Linked DNA regions of Mytilus edulis. The main gene of each other region encodes a partner of the protein of the gene in region 2 in a complex. Links are inferred from orthologs where the notes say so. Each region holds a gene or a part of one and is shown on either strand. Other genes may lie near its edges.

The links. Proteins that work in one complex are often made in the same cells at the same time.
Region 1: F-box only protein 10-like (region 2) and cullin-1-like share a complex: the UniProt entries of both Homo sapiens proteins name them as parts of the SCF(FBXO10) complex. The link is inferred for Mytilus edulis from reciprocal best matches to the Homo sapiens genes FBXO10 and CUL1.

The regions. Positions count from the first base shown.
Region 1 is NC_092345.1:9,610,212-9,621,245, reverse strand, and holds the start of cullin-1-like, read right to left. Parts: upstream 5,173-11,034; 5' UTR 5,070-5,172; intron 2,136-5,069; 5' UTR 2,029-2,135; coding exon 1,892-2,028; intron 1,204-1,891; coding exon 1,023-1,203; intron 74-1,022; coding exon 1-73. Other genes in the region: DAZ-associated protein 2-like, read left to right, coding at 7,577-7,727, 8,541-8,647, 9,422-9,550. UniProt on the Homo sapiens protein: Core component of multiple cullin-RING-based SCF (SKP1-CUL1-F-box protein) E3 ubiquitin-protein ligase complexes, which mediate the ubiquitination of proteins involved in cell cycle progression, signal transduction and transcription.
Region 2 is NC_092355.1:23,272,696-23,284,173, forward strand, and holds the start of F-box only protein 10-like, read right to left. Parts: upstream 4,375-11,478; 5' UTR 4,249-4,374; intron 1,229-4,248; 5' UTR 1,197-1,228; coding exon 1,018-1,196; intron 1-1,017. UniProt on the Homo sapiens protein: Substrate-recognition component of the SCF (SKP1-CUL1-F-box protein)-type E3 ubiquitin ligase complex. Mediates the ubiquitination and degradation of BCL2, an antiapoptotic protein, thereby playing a role in apoptosis by controlling the stability of BCL2.

The DNA.
Region 1 (11,034 bases), on a different chromosome or scaffold from region 2:
TGGAAAACTGATAATCCTCCCATTGTTTGGTGTAGAATGATAGAACCTGCTCATCAAGAAAATCTTGTCCGTCCTGTTGGAGATACATGTAAAATTAAAATTTGACATATAAAAAAGTGCTGGTGAAAAATTTGGTAACGTTCATGTTCAGAATATCAACCTATGAAACTGACATAAAAGCCAAATTATAATGTTTAAAACTTTTCCCCCCTTTGGTTTAATGTTGAATGTGTCAAGAAGAGCAATATAAAGAATTAGAATTAATTAGAGTTCCAAATGGTGAAGTTGAAATCATCCCTTCGTAAATTTTACGGACGCCATCACGAGTTGGTTGACCGTTATGGAATAACCGTTTCACAAATGATATCGGATATGTTCCTTACGTCGTAACTACAATCCCCTTCCCTTTCATGAATGTGACCTACCGAATTAGACTATTTACCGGATTTGTAATCACATAAGCAACACGACGGGTGCCACATGTGGAGCAGGATCTGCTTACCCTTCCGGAGCACCTGAGATCACCCCTAGTTTTTGGTGGGGTTCGTGTTGTTTATTCTTTAGTTTTCTATGTTGTGTCATGTGTACTATTGTTTTTCTGTTTGTCTTTTTCATTTTTAGCCATGGCGTTGTCAGTTTGTTTTAGATTTATGAGTTTGACTGTCCCTTTGGTATCTTTCGTCCCTCTTTAAGAAATATGGGCTGTTGATCACGAATATATGATATCCTTCCTTTAAGGCCATAAAACAGTAGCAAGGGCAGATAAAACTGCATTCAAATTTAACGTCCTGTTTCCCATAGGTTCTGCTTCATGAAGAATGTTATGTCCAAATTGCAAGAAAAAAATCAACAGTAGATGTTTCTGTGTATGCATTTGTATCAAGAAAAATTGTCCAAGGCTTTTTATAATATAAAATTATAATTGAACATCATATTATTGAATAGTGTTCAATATAAATCAAATTTTTTAAGTCTGATTTCAAACAAAAGAAAGTAAATGTATAACATGACGTGTAACATACCCTCAACACTGTGACCAGGTAGGATTTAAGAAAATCTTTTAGTCTTTTATACAGCTCAAATCCAACAAACTGGGCTCCTCCTGTTGGTGGTTTTGGGCGACGCCCACCTTGTGCCCTTGAAGATGACTGTTGACCAGCTTGTCCAGACTGATGAACACTTGTACAGTAATTGTAAACATGTCTAAGTAAACATTAAGGAAGCAATATTTGATTAAATGACAAGTTCACATGTGGTTCCATTTGTTCATGTTTACCAGTGCTATTTAGAATTCGAATAAAACAGAAGTACACAGGATGAATTGTCTCACCTGCTTTACTGACCGTTGAGTTATGTTAAAATAATGTGTTTCATAGTGGCTTAATATTTTCAAAACCAATAATGTTCAAAGCTTTTTGCATTTGTTATAAAAAGAAGAAGATATTTATTTCCAATTATAGGCCCAAAAGGGTATAAATATTACAACATCAATAATTTTCATAATACAATACAAACAATGATATAAAAAAAAATTAATGTCAGAGAACTTTTCAAGTTCTTAAAGAATATGTAGATAAAGAATCTATAGTATGTTTTTTTTTAATATAATGCATTTTAATGCAAGTGTGGTTGATATAAATAACAAACAAGCAGCCCAAAAATAAAGTTAAACCTTACTTTTCTAACTACATGCAAGATTATTGGTTATAAACCCCAAAATTCATGGTATTAATCTCCCCCCCCCCCCCCCCCCTACTAAAAATTTGAAAATTCAGTTTAATTTACAGTAGAACACATCTATCATTTGTCTATGGGATTGAACTGTTTAAACTGAAATGTTTTTATTAATCTCTTGATGAATCACAGATTCACATTAAATGTAAAAGGATACGTGTATAGTTCCATGTATCTGTTTCTAGCCATGCTCTGTCGGTTGTATACATGTTTGATTCCTCCTCGTAGATCATCCCAAATCTGGTCTAATCCAATCTGCTTCAATCCATGTGGATTCTGACGTGATCCTGCCATTTTTTAACCTTATTTAAATCTTCAGTAGAAATGTTATAAGCAGAAATTTTTCACATCAAAGTCAGTTGATATCCATTTTGTGAACTTATAATTAATCAAATCTGGATCTAAAATTCAAACAGAATGAAATAATATATGAAACAATATACATTCAGTGCTGAAGACATGCCTGACATGCTTGAAAATACATACAAATGTACAGAATGGGTAAAAACTTTAGAAGATATTGGTAGATATGTTTTTTGGATGAAAACAGACTTCATGACCCAGATATTCCTTCAAATAAATTTAGCCAATTTAACAGTCCTAATGACTGGTAACCAAAGTGTGTGTGACCCCATAATTTGCAGCCAAAACATGTTGAGATATTGTTTTCTTGTCAGGCCATTATTAATGTATGTGCCTGTCCCAAGTCAGGAGCCTGTAATTCAGTGGTTGTCATTTGTTTATGTGTTACATATTTGTTTTTCTTCATTTTTCTTATATAAATAAGGCCGTTAGTTTTCTCGTTTGAATTGTTTTACATTGTCATATCGGGGCCTTTTATAGCTGACTATGCGGTATGGGCTTTGCTCATTGTTGAAGGCTGTAAGGTGACCTATAGCTGTTAATGTCTGTTTCATTTTGGTGTCTTGTGGACAGTTGTCTCATTGGCAATCATACCACATCTTCTTTTTTATATATACTAGCTTGTTTTCTTTGAAATTGTTAAATAATACTTTGAAAAATGTGACCAAATGCCAAAGTTTTTAATGAAATTTGTGGAGCTTGTGATACATGTACATATTTTCAGACTAGTATGTAGATCTGGCACATTTATTAAGGTTCATCATAAAAAATGGACAAATATGGCCGTATTTTCACCACAAAAACTACTCTGTGTACAAACTTACCTGTGCTGTTTGGAAAGTTTTAATGCCTAGCATCCACTAGATATATAAAAGTTAAATGCATTTTGTGTTTAAGAAAATCTTTCTTGGTTTTTGATGGGCATTTTTTTTCCTTTCTTCAGGTGTAAAAATAAACAGGCACCTGAATTACTTTGATACTGTCCACTCACTGACTCAGATAAACTCTTTAAATTCACCTATAGTCATGATAGTTGTGAAGATACTTCTTGTCCATGTCAATTAAGGACAATCCAAACAATACAAACCGTTTTTTTACCTGAGGGAACATCTCATAGTTGTACCACAACTTAGTTAATTTTCACACCTTTTGCATGAAGGAAAAAAATGCCCATCAAAATCAAAAAGAGATTTAACTTTATTATATCTATTGGATGCCAGGCATTAAAACTTTTCCAACTTCACAGGTAAGTCTGTACTCAAGAGTAATTTTTGGCATGTAAATACAGCCATATTTGTCCGTTTGTTATGATGAACCTTAAACAATTATATTTTGGTGACCAATTTAAGAATTTTTAATGTTGGAGTTAACCACTAATCAGCTTTTACTATGAATAAAATTGAGAATGGAAATGGGGAATGTGTCAAAGAGACAACAACCCGACCAAATAAAAAAAACAACAAAACAACAGCAGAGGGTCACCAACAGGTCTTCAATGTAGCGAGAAATTCCCGCACCCGGAGGCGTCCTTCAGCTGGCCCCTAAACAAATATATACTAGTCCAGTGATAATGAACGCCATACTAATTTTCAAATTGTACACAAGAAACTAAAATTAAAATAATACAAGACTAACAAAGGCCAGAGGCTCCTGACTTGGGACAGGCGCAAAAATGCGGCGGGGTTAAACATGTTTGTGAGATCTCAACCCTCCCCCTATACCTCTAACCAATGTAGAAAAGTAATTGCATAACAATACGCACATTAAAATTCAGTTCAAGAGAAGTCCGAGTCTGATGTCAGAAGATGTAACCAAAGAAAATAAACAAAATGACAATAATACATAAATAACAAGACTACTAGCAGTTAACTGACATGCCAGCTCCAGACTTCAATTAAACTGACTGAAAGATTATGATTTCCTCATATGAACATTAGGCACAATCCTTCCCGTTAGGGGTTTAGTATCATACCATCATAACATATATGAGAAGAACATAACCCGTGTCATGCCAACAACTGTTTTTAGAATAAATGTGTTTAGTTCCGATGCAAAGACCTTATCAGTGAGTCAATATTAACGCCAAAATATGCAATCTTTAATGACTTGACAACAGTATCGTAATTATATCCCTTCTTAATAAGTCTATTCAAAGGTTTGAAGTACATATGTAATAGCTTCCGCATGTGACATTGGAAATGTGTAGAGAACTGCATGAATGTGACAGTTATTGGAATCTTCTAAAACTACATTTGCACAATGATATTAAATTTTGAGTTAACATATGTGATTGCGCTATCCTACTCATCTTTTTTTAACTGAAACGCGACAATATGGCAATGTACATGAATATATTGACTATTGATCACAGGCACTTGTTTCTATCCATAGGAAGGTCGACTATCCATATAATGCTTCTATTTATATGGATAGTCAACATTCCTATGGATAGAAACAAGTGCCTGTGCTATTGATGTAAATTTGTGTAGACATTTGTTGCATCTGAACTTGAAACAGGTTCTCACTCATACTCAGATGTTTAACCAACAAACTGACAAATTCATTAAAAATCTTAGAATTATAAATATGTTAATTTTGCCCTCTGTACTTTAAAGTGTCATTGATAAAAATAAAGATGAATAATCAGTTCCTTAGTCCTCCTTTTATGAGTTTATCTGTTGAATGATATATTTCTGTTTCTTTTTTAAAATTCATTGTAACAAATGTAGCCCGTTTTTATATAATAGTCAAACGATCCCATTAAAACAGGTTAAGATGTTTAAATTACAAAGAACTTGGACAAAAAAATCGTTGTTTAAAAGATAACCTCTTCAAAATGGCGACCGTCCATATCATTTTTGACAAAAGTGTGTTTATTTTTGAAAAATCTACTGAACTCTAACACGAATCTATTATGAAATATGACAATGATATAAAAACGGAAACTGTGTTACATTATTTGATTTTTTTACCATTTATGTAGTCGTTTCCTATTGAATTTCATTTCATTATGGAATCAATAGCGATTGACCTCATTTGAATTGTCTCCCGTTTGTACAAAAATTCCCCACAGAGGGCGTTAAATGCTAAACTATTTGATAACAAATCTTAAAATATTCAACCAGATTATTATCCATACATAATTATTTCTAAAAAATTGAAAACAATGATTATATTAATATTCATATCTAATTGATGAACCTGTAAATTTAACTTTTTTACAGATTTACTGATATTGTTTTGTTATCTTTTATAAGGAATCGTGAGAAATCAGTCAACCAGAACAGATGATCAAAGCTCACAAGAGAGAATTGTAAACAATATTATTACGAAATTTTAGAATGTCAGGTAAGAGACGTACAACAGTGTTAAAGATCTGCTAAAATTATCAAGTTATCCGGGATAAAAATTATTACTGTCTATAAAAATGAGAAGAGAAAAACTAAGGTTTATTTCTACTAAATTAATATATTTTTGTTGTTAATCTACATCCTTGTTTACAAAGACAACAACATAATAAATGTTACAGGCAAATTTTCTAATTCTGATAAGTTACTTGTATCAGTTAAATTAAAATTTTAACATTTTTATTAATTTCAACATATTATTTTTATGAGCATGTTCTGTCAAATTAAGTTCTTGATGAGGTGGGTCCAAGCTACATTGTAGTCCAAATAATTATGATGTCTTGGAAGAATATTTTAAATATTTGCTTTGACGCTTTCCTTCGATGAAAGGCGTCTAAGAAAAAAAAATATAATAGCCTTTCAAGATGTCATAATTATTTGGACTAGGGTCCAAGCGTGATGCAGGATTGGCTGTTTTTTTTAAAGAGTGACATGTGAAAGTCGAACAATTAAGCATGAAAAATGGAAACAAAGAACGGCGAGACACTGATACAGGATTCTCACTAAACAATAAGCGGTATCCGGGATCAGACCCCCACTCAATGAGACCCCTGGCCTGATGAGCATGACAAGGAGACCTACATGTACCTGAGCTAATTTCACAAAAATTCTTTATGAATGATTCATAAAATGTGCATAATCATGATAATTTTAAAACATTCATTTCTGAAAATTATGTTCTTATAGTGCATTGCCGGATGCAGGTTGGAACCCCCCCTTTTTTTTGGCCAATCAAAGCATTTGAATGGGGACATATAGTTGGAACACCCCCTTTGTCCTAGGTTGGGACCCCCCTTTTTAAAATGGCTGGATCTGTGCCTGTTGTGTGTCATCATGGTCATAATTGAATAATAGGAAGAAATTTAAATAACCATGCATGCAGTCTTTTGTTGACTCATGTGACTGTCTTTGGAGGCTACTTTTTTCTTTATCTGAAGCAATCCCTGCCATGCTAGTTTTTTTATCTCCAGAAATAGTTTTACAGTAATGATTATAGCTAACATTCAAAATGAATTGGAGAACAGATCAATTTCCAACATATCATCACACTTAACTTACATGACTTAAACACATGAATTGAAAACAAAACTAGGACCTATTTCAGGCTTGTATGATTTGTAAAAAAAGTTTTTCATCAAGACTTAATTACATCAGCCAATACAAAACAATGATCTGCAGCTTAGTTTGTAAATCTGTGTTTCTTTATGATATATATGTTTTTAAACTTGTCTGATGAAGAAAAATTTATATATATGTTTAAAAATACCAATATTTGTAATATTGTTGCCAAAACCTGCAATAACATTTAAACAAGGAGAAACAGTATTTTATATCGTTAACTACTGTATTTGTAGTATTTTATAAAATGAATAAGTATTATTTGTATTTTAATAGTCTCTCATAATTCTTTTAAGAATGGCACATACATGTATTTAATTGTTTTAACTATGTTTACTGTATAATTAATTTTATAATTGTATCTTGTTTTAATCATGTTGTATGTGGTGATACTTTAATAAACTATTGAATCTGAATCTTTACATAAGTCAGGTAAGTGTAAAAATGTACCTAACAATCATCACTTGGAAAAATATACCTGGCAAGTGCTGTAAAAATGTATATGGGCCAATGAAAAATCCTTAAAAAATGAACATGCATGTAGTTTTCATTTAGATACAATGTACAGTCTATGGTTAACTTCTTGGGAACATGATTAAACCATTTCAAATCTCCACTGAATTTCAGGAAACATTTACAGAAGCTTGTTAGCAAAGAGAACAACTAATTCTACTGTCATACTGTACATCATTTAATGATGTTTTTAGATATATAAATACTGGAGATGTACATCTTCCTTAAACATGTAGAATGAACCCTGCATATATCATGTATATCCTACATCTTTTATTTGCACTTAAAAACACTTGTTTGCTACACATACATTATGTTTATTTTATATTCTGCAAATATGTTTTTTAGTGGTTGTTTTTTCATTCTATTAGTTTTGTGCTCTGCCATTAACTATTGTTATCTATGTATTTTAATTAAATAGTTATTATTGAGCTATATGCATGACAATAATAGTGTTTGTTTTCTCTCCAGGAAAACCAAATAAGTCACCTTACCAAACACCAGGGTATCCTACCCAGGGTTATCCCACCGCTGGTTACCCTACTCAACAATATCAGCAAGGGCCACCAGGATACAGTAGTAGCTTTGCTCGTAAGTAATTGAAGTACATGTATTCAACATACCAGTAACCTAGAATGTAGTTCTATCAAGTGAACCAATACCTGAAGTGGAAAACTAGTGGATTCAGCTAGGTATTCACAGTTGTCATAAAATAAATAAAAATATGTCGCCACAAAGACATCAACACTCAAATTTTCCCAGCATAGTATAGGTATAAAATGGTGTTTGTTAGACTTTGGATCTGCACATACATGTATCTCTTTTGTCAAATTTAATACTAAGAGTAAAATGCATGCTATACTTATTACTTCATCATGATCATAAGGACATTATAAAAGTTATATTTATACACTATATCATTCTATTCATGTATCTCTTCATGTGTTTGAAAAGTTTTACCATATTTGTTATTTCAGGGGCTAAATAATAGCTTTTATCATACTTTCTTCTTTACAAGATGACAAAAGTAAAACCTCAACTACACATGTACATAAATAAATACTAAAGATGTTAAAAATAGTACATGTATAGCTTATCTTAGTGTGAACACACCTACTTAATGGCAAAGTTAGCTCAAAGTGTGAATGCACTTACAGACTGGCAAAGTTAGTTGAAAGTGTTTTAAAGGTACCCAATCTACTGAACTCATGCCCTGTTGCTTTACCTCCTATAGCAAAATCATGACGCACTCGCAATGTAGTTATAATGTCCAAGTATGTGACATCTGATCCATGTGATTAAGATGAAAATATGATTTTATATAATGTCCAATGCATTTTTGATAAGATCAAAAGTTTCTTCAACTTATAAAGCATGTAAAGTGAAAACCTTTGTATTTAACAGATGGCTCACCAGCTCCAGGTGTGACAGTAACTCACATGGCACAGTCTTATCAATCTCCTGGAGCCTATGGTGCACCACCTCAGGGACCACCACCACCCTATTCATACGTAAGTGTCTTTAATAGCATATGTATAGTAACTGCTGAACTTTTTTCATGTGAGTCATAATAATATGTTTAAGGATTTCTAGAATATACCTGCGCTGACATGTTAAGTGTCAAGTCTAGTAATTTCATAAGTTCTTTAGTCAGTAATTTTGTTTACTTAAATTTAAGATTAAATGGACAACCAACAACTTGATTTACGACAAAACAATATATAAAAATCAAATATGACAGGCAGCAACCACTGAATAACATGATTCTCATGAATTGGAACTGGCAAATAAAGAATGTGGCGTGTTAAACATGTTTGTGAGTGCTCAATCCTTCACCTAATCTGGGTTTTTTTCTGAAAATGTTTGTAACAAGTTATAATTTTGTTATTGTTCAATGGGAGTTTTAATAGCATAGACAATTTTGATTAAATAAACTAAATTTTGAGAAAAATGAAATAAATATTATCGTAAAAACAACATTAGAGCTTGTCAATTGTCTAAATATTCATGAATAAAAATAAAATGTTCAATTGTTTTTATAATATCTCCTTTCGCCAATAATAATTAGGTCAGAACCAAGAAAGCAGTTTCTTGTTCTTAATAGAAGGTAGTATGTAATCAATGAACATGCACATTTTCAGTATGTAAAAGTAAGCATACTTTTTCTTGCAAAACAAATACCATTAAATTTAATTAAATTTAATTGAGCAGACTACTTTTGTAAAAAATGTATATATCTTTCTTGTCTGTAAGTACATATTGTAAGTTTTTATTTTTTATTTTAGGCCCCTCCACAACAAGGTTATCCAACACAACAAGGAGGTTATCCAACACAACAACCACAACCATTTGTAGCCAATAATGTCTTTGATTCAGGTGCCAGATTTGACGGAATAGCACAGCCCAATATACCTGTAAGTTTAAGAGTAATAGCAATTGTTCTGTACCAGCCATTAGTCATGCTTGTACAGGCTTCAATGAAGACAAACCACAACATCTGTATCATATCAAATCAAAATCATCAATAAGTACATGTATATAATTATGAAATAATTCATGGGGACTTGAATTTATACTGATATAAGCACAGGTTGGCCCTTTATACTAAATATTTTACCATGAGCGACAGCGAGGGTTAAAATAGTGGCATAAATGGCAAACTGGTTGTAAATTCAGTATAAATTCAAGCCCCCATGAATTAATTGTTTTCTAATAGGACAAATACAGCAATTCTTTTGGATCAAGGCGCTCAAGGTATAGGCAAATATTTGCCGTTTTTAAAATAAACGCACTTTTAATTTGATGTTAAAGAACGGAGCAAATTGAATAAGTGACATGCTTAAACTATTTTCAATAACATATTTAGAGAGGTTTAGATAAATTTAAATGATAATTCTAATATGACGTGCTTCTTTCGCTTTGTAAACAACACCGTGATAAAATTCTCGATATATCTATACTTAGCGCAGACTCCTAGATGTACACAGATGGCTGTTTAAATATGCCTCCCACGTAAATCCACATGTATCGTAACCTATGTGTAAACGGTTGTGGATTTCACTGTGTTAACAATTACAATTGAATAAAACCCTACAGAACATTTATTTTGATTCTGACGCATAACAAAGAGAATTTACACATTAGAGAACGGAAAAATGGACAAAAACAAAATAAATTAAAATTCCGCGAAATTCCAGTAATGATTTTGGCGCATTAACGTCATTTCAAAACATGACGTCATACGAATGAAAACGTCAAAGCTGAAGGTTTTTCTTTTGCGTTAACCGTCTAAACTCGGATACAATTGCATTAAAATAAAGTATTGAGGTAGGTGTTGCTTGTTTTCTGTTCTATTGCATTATTCGCACATTTACTGATTTCAGCAAGTCAACATGGCGGCTCCTTGGTTACAACAGTGAATTTGACGGTAGCTTACGATAAAAAATGTAAATTTGAAATTGCAAATGTTGGGTTTACTGAGAAGTAAAAAAAGTAATGACATTTTTTTCTAGCGGCTAGTTAAGAAATCATTCATGCAGGTTTATTAGATTTGTTTTACATTTATCGAGTAGTGGGTAAAATAGAACAGCCACACACACGGTATACCCATCATCGCTTCAGTTTTTTAATGATCGTATTTGTCCTTTTAGAATCAAAATAATTCATGGAAGCCATAGATTTGTTGGAAATTTACACATGGCCTGGGCCGTGGTATTCGTTAATTTTATCCCTCGCTAACGCTCAGGATAAAATTCGAATATCACGGCCCAGGCCATGTGTAAATTTCCAACAAATCTATGGCTTCCATGAATTATTTCTTAATTTACTTGTATGTATAAAAAAATGGTTTATAAATCATTTTAGCATTGTTTGTTCCCGTTTCCTTGTTGTGATGATT
Region 2 (11,478 bases):
AAAGGTATTTCCCTTAGGACAATGTATGGAGTTATGTATTCTTATTTTATGTATAGCCTATGTTTGTTCTATATCATGAAATATATATATATATATGATGTTTGCAAAAGCCTAAGTTTGCCATATCATAATCTGACATGATATGGGATGCATTTGTAATAGACAAACTTTAGCAGCATGATCAAAGCATTGAAACAAAGGATGATAAAAATCTCTATATCATATATGTGGATAGTTGTCTCATTGGCAATCATACCACATCTTCTTTTTTATATTTTCTGCAGGGTGTGTTACTAGTGCTGTGTGGATTCAGTAGAATGTGACCCCGTGTCTGTAGTGTATGCCCTTATATTTTTACAGTTAGGGGTTTTTTGCTTGTGAGAGAGCTGTCTACTTATTCTATTATCATGATTAATGATCTATTTCTTATACTGGTCTGTGGTATTTTGGTCTTTTGTGGATAGTTGTCTCATTGGCAATCATACCACATCTTCTTTTTTATATGCAGAGTCTTTAAAGGTCATCTATAGACCTCTCTAATTTTATTTTTTAAGACCCTTCTAAGGCCTCTTAACAGACAGCGATTTCACATTTCATGTATGTACTTTTGTCAATTTAGTGTTCTGATCTGCTAGGCTTCTGACTGGATTGGTCATCTACAGAACTTTTTTTTCAAAGGTTCAAGTTTTGCACTAGGTTGATCCACGTGTTTGCAAAAGCTCAATGTTCTAAGTGCCAAAACAATTTGTTAGTTACATTTGTACCTTGTAATTGGACTAAACCATAAGTGTTAGAAATGCCTCTCATAAAATTATTTATGATTTAATTCTAATATGTTCAGTTAAACTTGAATTACCATGAATTTAAATTATCTAATAAAAACTCAATTCTTCAACAACAAAATAAGTGTTTCTACAAGCTTTTACCAAGCTCATGAACTTAAGAAAACTTTTTCAACAGGAAAAATTCTGAAATCCATTTTATTTTACTATTCATTTCTTGTTTTATTGTATTTACCTAGTGCTGTCCAGACTCATAACCAGATCATTCCATGTTTTACATACACAGGCTGATCCACAGAGGTCTTCTGCAGTGAGATAGGAAAGTATAATTCTCCATATCTCCCATGGCAACCCAGACTTGTCTCCTGGCAACACCTTACTCCCATTCTCAGCTTTGACACTAGGGGATGACATCCTTCTATGCCATCATACGTACCAATATTTAACTGAAAATGATGAGACATAGACATACAAAATTTAAAGATGACAAACTTCAATTAATTAGATTTCAACAAAGACAAAATTCTAGATTTTTTTCCAAAATGTTTGCACCTCGAAACAGGAAACAGGTTCCCTTTCAGACCTACATGTATCTACAGTTTTCTATAATTTTGTCATATAATGTCAGCTTACTTTTAATTATGACATGGTTCATTAGTGTCAAAAATCTTGTTTCTGCATCTTGCAACTCTTTTTGCAACATTTTTGTTTTTTTCTTATTTAAAAAAGATACAAATGGCAAAAAGTTTTGCGTATTTTGTTGGGGTAAAATAGGAAGCCATTTTGTTTGTGAAGCTAGTCAGTTATGTTTATAACAACTACTGGACGTAAGTGAAAAGGAGTAGGTCCGATAAGGACCGATTTTGGCCTCAAATTTCAGGTTCATCTGACGAAAGATTTTGCCCACTTTTTAAACACTTAAGTGTCTATTTTATTTGATTCAATTAGTTTATGTGAAAGATTTTAACTGATTTTGTCATTAAAAACGATCCGATGCAAGCTCAAATATGAAAAATCTACCAAATATGCAAAAAAATGCCTCTTTTCAGATGGTTTTTGTCAAAAATGAAAGTGGCCGCATCCGTGTTCATCCTCAACCTTTATATATGTTATGTATTATCATAAAATACAACTTACATTTTAATATTAAGGATGAATACGAATGTGGCCACTTTCGTTTTACACGAAAACCGTCTAAAATTTAACTAGAATGCTAGAATTGTGAAGATTTCAGTGATTTAGCATGACTTAATGGTGCTTGTACCCGATATATGTGCATTGTATTGTCAAAAACAGCCCATATTTATGTAACAGAAGCATTCTACTGTTCAATTAATAAATAAAAGTTTACATTTTAACAATTTTGTAAAACTGCTATATTTTGGGGCCAAAAAGGGGTCTTACCGGACCTACTCCTTTCATTGTCTTGCTTTATAAACCAAATTCCATTTATTTCCCCAAGAATTCAGTCCTAAATCATTACCATCATCAGTTCATATGATATGTGTTTCTTGTTTCTTGCATTTTATTTATAGATTAGACTGTTGGTTTTCCTGTTTGAATTGTTTTAGAGTAGTCACTTTGGGGCACTTTATAGCCTGCAGTTCAGTGTGAGCCTCGAGTTTGATCGAAGGCTCAGAATGTAGAAGGTTGTACTTTGACCTAAAATTGTAAACTTTTTATACATTTGGACTTGGATTGAGATTTGTACCATTGGCGCTAATACCACATCTTATTATTCACATCTAGACCAAAGCTCTGCTCTCAAGTCACAATTTATAAAAGTAAACCATTATAGGTCAAAGTACAGAACATGTTTGATTTTTAAATGCCAAAAGCATTTGAATAACTAAAATTAATTTATCCCTATCAAGCTGCAGACCAAAATATATACTGTAAACCAACTTATTTTCGCAACGATTTATTTTCGCGACATTCGCGAGTAGAAAAATAACGCGAATATAAATCGTCGCGAATATGTATACATGTAACTTGGATCTTTACTTATCAAACTACATCAAGTAGATAAGAAAATCGCGAAATTAAATAGCCGCGAAGTGGACTAGAAATCGTAAAACGCGAAATAAAGTATCCACGAAAATAAGTTGGTTTACAGTAATCACCCCCTTCACAAGAGCCATGAAAATTTGACGAAAAATTTCATGTATAATGATTTTGACATGAAAAATATGAAACAATTCAAATGAGAAAAACTAATGGCTTATTTCATTACACAACATTTAAACAAATATGACAGACATGAACCAACAACAACCACTGAACTATAGGCTCTTGACTTGGGTCAGGCACTTAAAGAATGTGGCTGGGTTAAACATGGGTGTTTTCTCAGACTCAGACTTGAGTTTTACTGTGTGTTTGATTATTCTACATTGGATAGAGGTTTAGGGGGGAGGATTGAAATTTCACAAAACATGTTTTATAACAGTCACATTTTTGCACCTGTCCCAAGTCAGGAAGACGAATAGCAACTGTTTGCATAAACAATTTGTATACACATTGAAAATTTGACCCCAAAAAAATGGTAAATCTAGAAAGAATTAATCCAGTGCTACATATAGCTAAGAAAATTACAATTTATATTCATTAAAATGACACCAAAAGCAGGCAGTGATCTTAGATCTTTAAATCTTTAATTTAACTGATCATCTACAAAAATATGGAACATGTCATTTAACATTGTCTGATTGTAGAGATCAATATTAAAATGTTATTGATCAGAATGGTATTTTATCCTACCAATCTGATCAGTGATTGAATATGAAAATTAGGATTGATATGACTAGTCTAATTTGGGATAACTGAGGGTCGTAATTCGGGTACCTCCATGATGATATAACAGTAGAAATTCTTGCCAAATGATGGTAACGATACTTATTTGAGACCTCTGATTAATCATGATAGATAGATATAATCGTGATAAGAATATGTTGCCAAATCACAGAAATTTTAACCAATTTGATGCTAACGGTAGCTGTAAAGGACTGTTTGAAGCCTGACAATACAGGGCAATACTAACCTCATAGGGGGGTGGGGTTCTAATCCCGTTTCCTGCTTACACTAAGTAAGTAAGCAATTCTCATTTTTTGTAATTTCCTGTTTCCCACTAGACTTCATTTCCCGTTTTTACGGCACAATAATTTGACTTTCACTTGTCACGGTTACAAAAAATTGGCAATCCCGTGTCACACTTAGACCCAAAGAGACCCACCTCCTAATGATCTACCTGTAACAAATTTACATTGTGACATTTACCTATGCATATATATGCAATTAACACGAAAATGTGACACGAATTGTTAGTTTAAATGTGTGTTAAATTGACGAATTTACCGACAACATTTTATCGTTTCACTGCAAGGCATGCCTACCCCCCTTTTTTACATTTGGTTGGTGGTTTCGTTTAGAAACAAACATTAAGTTCAGGGTTTACGCAATGACTTATTACAATGTTTTATGGTTTTGTTGTACTGGTCCTTTAAATAAAATTTACTTCATCTGCAACTTCGAAGTTCTGTAAACAAGGCGACAAAAATTTTGTTTACTTCTGTGTATAATAACAAAAACCAATAACGGAGTAGCTTGTATTTTCCGGAATCTACGATAAATAAGTAAGGAAGCAAGTAACATGGTTTTATCGGACATGATATGTACAATTTAACATAGTAAATATGGACTCTGGAGCTCTTAATCGACTTCTTCTTCTTCTTCTTCTTCTTCTGATATACAGTTACAGCTTCATTTTTATTGAAGATTACGAACTGTTGCATGCGCGGAGTATATGATTAAAAAATATGAACAAAAATTTATCTTTAACCAAGGACGTATATGAGGGCCCTCATGGGGTTTTTGATTATGTGATTACTTGGCCGTTTTTTTAATGATTATTTGATTATTAGCCAAATATTTCATGATTATTTGATTACCTAGGACTGTATTTTTAGTTTATGATTATTTGATTACTAAAGATAAGCAAATATTTAATGATTATGTGATTATATTGGCAAAAAAATGGTGATTATGTGATTACTAGGACCCCCCCCCCCCATGAGAGGCCTCGTATATTAGTTATACGTCCTTGCTTTAACTTAGTAGAATACTTGGTGATATTTACATGAAAGAAAACAACAAGTGATTAAAAAATATGTACATTGTTATTTATAGAATTAAATTATGTTGTGGAGAACAGTTGGTGTCAACTGATCTCTGTAAATTTCAATGGTTTGACTTGCTACCACAACTTGTGGCAACATGTTCCATTGAATGATTGTTTGCGGAAAGAATGACCATTTGTAGCTGTCTTTAGAGGTGGATATTTGCCGAAATGTTTGAGTATGTAATTTTCTTGTTCTAGTATCTGATGGTATGAGGACTAGTGATGGGATTGCAATGAGTCCATGGATGACCTTGTAGAACATGATAAGTCTGGTTTTGAGGCGGCGCTCACTAAGTGAGGGCCATTGTAGTTCGTTTAACATGGATGTAACACTACTGGTGTTGTGGTAATTGTTACATACATATCGGGCCGCACGCCTCTGTACCATTTCTAGCTTATTTTTATAATCTGCTGTGTGTGGATCCCATAGACTACAGGCATATTCAAGTTTTGGTCTCACTATTGATTGGTAAGCACGGGATTTGATACTGGAGTTAGAAATTTTTAAGTTTCGCCTAAGAAAGCCAAGAGATTTATTTGCATTTGATACGATGTTGTTGTAGTGAATGTTCCATTTTAAGTTAGACTGTAGGGTTACGCCAAGATATTTTGCAGATGTTACTAGTTCTAAAGTATGGTTATGAAGGATGTAATCGTGTTTAAATGGTTTTTTTTTTTTTGTGTGATGGTTAAGATAGTGCATTTTCCAGGATGGAAGGCCATGAGCCAATCAGCCTCCCATTTCGCTGCTGCGTTAAGATCTTTTTGTAAATTTGTGCAGTCTTGTTGACATGTTATTTCTTGGTATATAATACTGTCATCAGCGAAGAGTCGTAGTTTGCTGTGTTCCAGGTATTCTGGAAAATCATTAATGTATATTAAAAAGAGTATAGGCCCAAGGACAGTTCCTTGGGGGACACCTGATGTTACTGGTGCTGTATTTGATGTTATTCCATCTATTACCACTGTTTGCGTACGGTCTGATAAGAAAGCCTGAATCCATTTTAGAGTGTTACCTCGAATGCCATAGTATTTTAGTTTATAGAGTAGACGTTTGTGGGAAACCTTATCAAAGGCCTTGGCAAAATCCATAATAATGAGGTCTGTTTGTATATTTTTGCTGTTGTTGTTATGAAGTTCTTGTATAAATTGAATAAGTTGTGATTCGCATGATCTGGATTTTCGGAAACCATGTTGGAGGTCGTAAAGAATGTTATTTGCCTCTAAATAGTTCATAATGTTACTTGTCACTATATGTTCCATCAACTTACAACAAATACAAGTGAGTGAAATCGGTCTATAATTTTCAGCCTTGTATCGTTCACCCTTTTTAAATGCTGGTGCAACAATTGCATGTTTCCAGTCTTTTGGTGTTTTTCCCGATTCCAGAGATTTTGATATCTAAAAGAAAATAATAAATTATAATATAAAAAAGAAGATGTGGTATGATTGCCAATGAGACAACTCTCAACAAGAGACCAAAATGACACAGAAATAAACAACTATAGGTCACCGTACGGCCTTCAACAATGAGCAAAGTCAATATCGCATAGTCAGCTATAAAAGGTCCCGAAATGATAATGTAAAACAATTCAAACGAGAAAACTAACGGCCTTATTTATATAAAAAAAAAATGAAGGAAAAACAAATATATGTAACACATAAACAAACGACAACCACTGAATTACAGGCTCCTGACTTGGGACAGGCACATACATACATATAAATGTGGCGGGGTTAAACATGTTAGCGGGATCTTAACTCTCCCCCTAACTTGGGACAGTGATATATAACAGTACAACATAAGAACGAATTATAAAAATCAGTTGAAAAAGAATTAACTATACAGATGGACAAAAATACAAGTGGGCGTGGCCGGGTACTGGTACAACCCAACAACAAAAAGACGCTAGGAAAAGATCTGAGAGTACTCGCAGTTAACAGACAGCTAGTTCAAAGCCACTAACATATAATTAAAAAAAATCATGCATCTAAGAATAAATTACCAATCCGTACACATCCAACATCCAATGGATTTAGTGTAAAGACGTCATAAACAGTCAGAGAAAACATGACCTCGTGCAATGCCAAGATACAGGTATCGACACATTGTACATTAGATCCATGAATGTGTTTATGTATATAACATACCAGTAATATTTAGTTTGCTTTTTATTTACTGATAACAAAATCAATATTTATACCAATAAAAACAATATTCAATGATCTTATTACAGTGTTGAATTAGTAACCTTTTAGAATAAGTTTATTTAAAGGAGCAATAAGTTTACCAGGATCATTTCTAAATTTCCTTGCACGGTTAACAACATTTCCGTAAAAATGAGGATGTGCTATCCCGCTTGAAATATGTTTTCTACAGGAACAACTACAAAACCAAATCTTTATATCTATGGAAAAAATTAGTAAAGTAATCTATGGTAACGTGATCCCTGGTTTAATAATCACCAGAAATACATAGATTACGTTCGTTAAAATCAAAAACATCACAACGGACACGGACATAGCGAACGAGCTGTGAAATATAAACACAGTAAGATAGTGCCAAAGGAACATCACCATCTAAAAATGGAAAATTTAAGAATAGGGAACGAAAAATCGTCCCTTTCGTCGTAAATTTAAGTGTGGAGTTTCCCGTTTAAAACCGAGATATATAAATCTAGGAAAAGACGATTATTAACGTTAAATTTGATTTATTTAAAGTAAGTTCCTTGGGGTAAATTTCAGCAGTATATTGAGAAAATTCTGGATTATTTAACGAAAAAATATCATCAAGATAACGGTAAGAGTTGTTGAATTTATCAATTAAATGCAATTTCGACAGGTCTTTACTGAGTTTAGTCTTAAACTGTGATTCGAAAAAGTACAAAAACAAGTCTGCTAATAAAGGGGCGCAATTAGTGCCCATAGGAATACCCACAACCTGTCGATAAACTTTGTTGCCGAAACGTACATAAAATTATCAAGGAGAAAATTAACAGCTTCAATCATCTTATCACACCTCCAGTAAGTATATCGAGCATATTTTCCTTTCTCATTAGAGAAGAAGGCTTTAAATGTGCTGCAGCAAATATATTTGCATTCAGATTTACTAAACGACCATTTAATTAAATAGGAAAACTTTTGTTTGATGAAATAGTGTGGAAGTGTAGTGTAAAGAGTAGAAAAATCAAAACTGTCAACAGAATCAAAAGGACCATCAAAAGCACGTAATTTATCTAAAACATCCAAAGAATTTGTTTCACTCCAAAAATAGTTTATTCCACTATGTTCATATATTTTATTACAATAGTTTATGATAAGCTACTTGTTCAAAGCACTGAAAAATTATTTGTAGAACACTTACTAGAGGCCGAGATGAAACAATATTTAAATGGTTTTTTTTGTGTGTTGTTTAGATAGCCAATACATAGTAGGGACCTTCAAATGTCAAGAAGAAGCCTTAATCTTTGATGTGCATATGATATGTTTGTTTATGTGAGTTAATATCTAAAATATTATACGAGTAATTTTTAAAATTTAATTAATTGTGTAAGAGCTCTGGACTGGATTTTGTCACAGTTTTTTATGCCGTGGTTCTCGTGCGTCTGATTTTAAGTGTTGGTAGTTAAGATTGTTCGAGTAATTGTTCCTATGAGTTATTGTAGTCCTTACAGATAAATCTGAGCGCTCCGGTTCTGGCAGGTTTTTTTTTATATATATTTTTGGTGTTGCGCTCGCTACAAAAATGCCATGTGAGTGGACAGTAACTTAGGTTTGGCATGATAAAAGAATGGTAAATTTCCATTTTTGTCAGTTTATTCAAGTGTGATCCAATTTTTTTTCAGAACTTTCAATTTTCTGGATTCTTTTTTACACATATGTTCGTTACTTTTTTTTATGCGTTTACTTTTCTACATTGGCTAGAGGTATAGGGGGATGGTTGAGATCTCATAAACATGTTTTAACACCGCCGCATTTTTGCGCCTGTCCCAAGTCAGGAGCCTCTGGCCTTTGTTAGTCTTGTATTATTTTAATTTTAGTTTCTTGTGTACAATTTCAGTGGAGTTGTCTCTTTGACACATTCCCCATTTCCATTCTCAATTTTGATAAGGCAGCAACCATTTGATTTTCTGGGGGGGGGGGGGGGGGGGGGGCTATGTTTTTTTTTTGGAAAAAAAAGTTTGTTTCCAGTTTTTGGAGAAAAAAATAATTTGTTTTTGATTCTGAGAAAAAAAAATTGTTTGTTTCACCCTCAGCTGCCACTATATGTAATGCTAAAATTGAAAGAAAAAAATTGTTTTCGACTTGTCGCGAAAAAAATAGATTGTTTTTCGCCGCAGGCGAAAAAAAAAGTTTGTACAGAAAAAAAAACCATAGCCCCCCCCCCCCCCCCCCCAGAAAATCAAATGGTTGCTGCCTAATAGCTCAGATGTAGGTTCGTGTTCAATGTGATCACTTGGCTAACCCCCCTTGGCTGTAGACATTGATACAGTGAGATTGTCGGATTCCGACCATGACTGAAAAGGTCAACCAGTTTTTTTTTTAATACAAAGGTAGATGATAAGCTCTTGATTCTTCGGTTCTTTTGAGAAAAAAAAATGGCCAATATGATATAGCAGAGAGTGCTTAAATTGGCACACAGATTCAATCAGTTATTTTCAAATTAACTATCATTAATCAGTATTGGCATATACCGTAATAAAATATAAATGTAATAAAAGAATATACATTTAAAGAAAAAGAGGTGCACCCACAGAAAATAGAAACTGCAATCTTACTCCTAATTTCATCGGATCTCAAAATTTTAACTCTTACCAGAATTTTTACTCTATCTAACAGTATAACTCGGAAGTTTATAAGTGTAACTCGAGCTTTGACTAGAACTCTTACTGGAATAAATGTTCGAAATCAAAATAAAACTCGAACTTTAACTCAAAATTTCACTGAAAGTCGAACTAACGTTGGTGCGATTATGGAGCGTTATGTAATTACGGGAATGTTAACCAATTTTAAATTTCTTCCGAAAATGGTGTCGTTAAGGGCTTTTTTAAAAGTGCCGAGTTTGTGGCTTTTTAATACGGCATTTCAGGTTTTATCTTCCCGGTGCGAATGGACAAGTTAGTGAATATATTCTGTTTGTAGTCTAAATGGAACGTGTTACTTTCAGCCCGGATACCCTCAGTATTCCGAAGTAGAGGATTCTAAATCTGTAAATCCGGATCCGTAAATTATTTCTAATACGGCACGAGGCAGACAATCGTTTTCCCTATACAACAAATGCAATTAAAAAATTCAGATGACTTCAACTTTGACAATTACGTTATAATAAACTGTTACAGTATGTAATGTTAAAACGTTTCTATAGATTGATAAAAATATCAATTAATAATCGAAATACCTTGAAAAAATGATATTATATTTTGAAGTGAAAAGGTTTAAGTCAACCCAATAGTTCCAAGCATTGCAAGAAATGCTCCTATGTTAGCAATGTCGTTCTCTGAGCGTTAGTTATAGTTCCCGCCAAAAATCGATAATAAGATTATTTCCGTTTTAGCGGATTTAAAACATCGGTGACCCCCCTTTTTTATTTATGCTTTTAAAATCTCCCCTGAAGCTGCAGCTTATGCAGAAGTTTGAAGGAAAAAACATTAGTAGATTTTTTTTATTTCAAGAAAAATCTATAATAAATAGAAATTAAAAATGGCGGGAAATGTTCAAAGGCCTTGAAAAATAAAGAAACTGAGAAAAATAAATGTGTATAAGGTAAAAGTTACAATTGAATGTTTTAGTTATACCAGTGAAAGATCGTTTTTCAATAATTTCGCCTTCAATTAGCAACTTAAAGCGCTACTTCTATATTTCGGTATAACGCGATTCTTTACTTTTTGATGACGTCATATCTCGAAAACAACATCGGTGACCCCAATTGTTTTTTCGCCTAAAATGTTGTAATAAGTATGATCTGTCTGCATGCAAAATTTCAATGAATTATTATTAGTAGTATAAATAGTGTGATTTCCCTTTAATTAAGGGGCCAGCTGAAGAACACCTCCGGGTGCGGGAATTTCTCGCTGCACAAGTTGAAGACATGTTGGTGACCTTCTGTTGTTGTCTGTTCTATAGCCGGGTTGTTGCCTCCTTGACACATTCCCCATGTTTTCCGTTCTCAATTTTATTATCGATATATATCATCAGTGGTTTATGTCGAGCATAAAATCATTGATCACACCAAGTAGTTTAACTTCATCATCGCATTTGATATTGTTTGCATTTAAATGAAGACTATCATGTTGTTTTTATGTGTTTTACTACCAATCGCTATTGCTTGAATTTTTCTGGATTATTCTGCATTTTATTGAGTGATAACCATGAAATTAGTGAGCCCCTCAGGTCTTTCTCGAAGGATATATAATAACTAATGCCAAATAAGAATCAGATTTTGAAAGGATATTGTTATGTGCATAATTATACAAGTTATAGTTTCTAACAAAGAAAAAATATCGTTTATAAAAATATTGAATA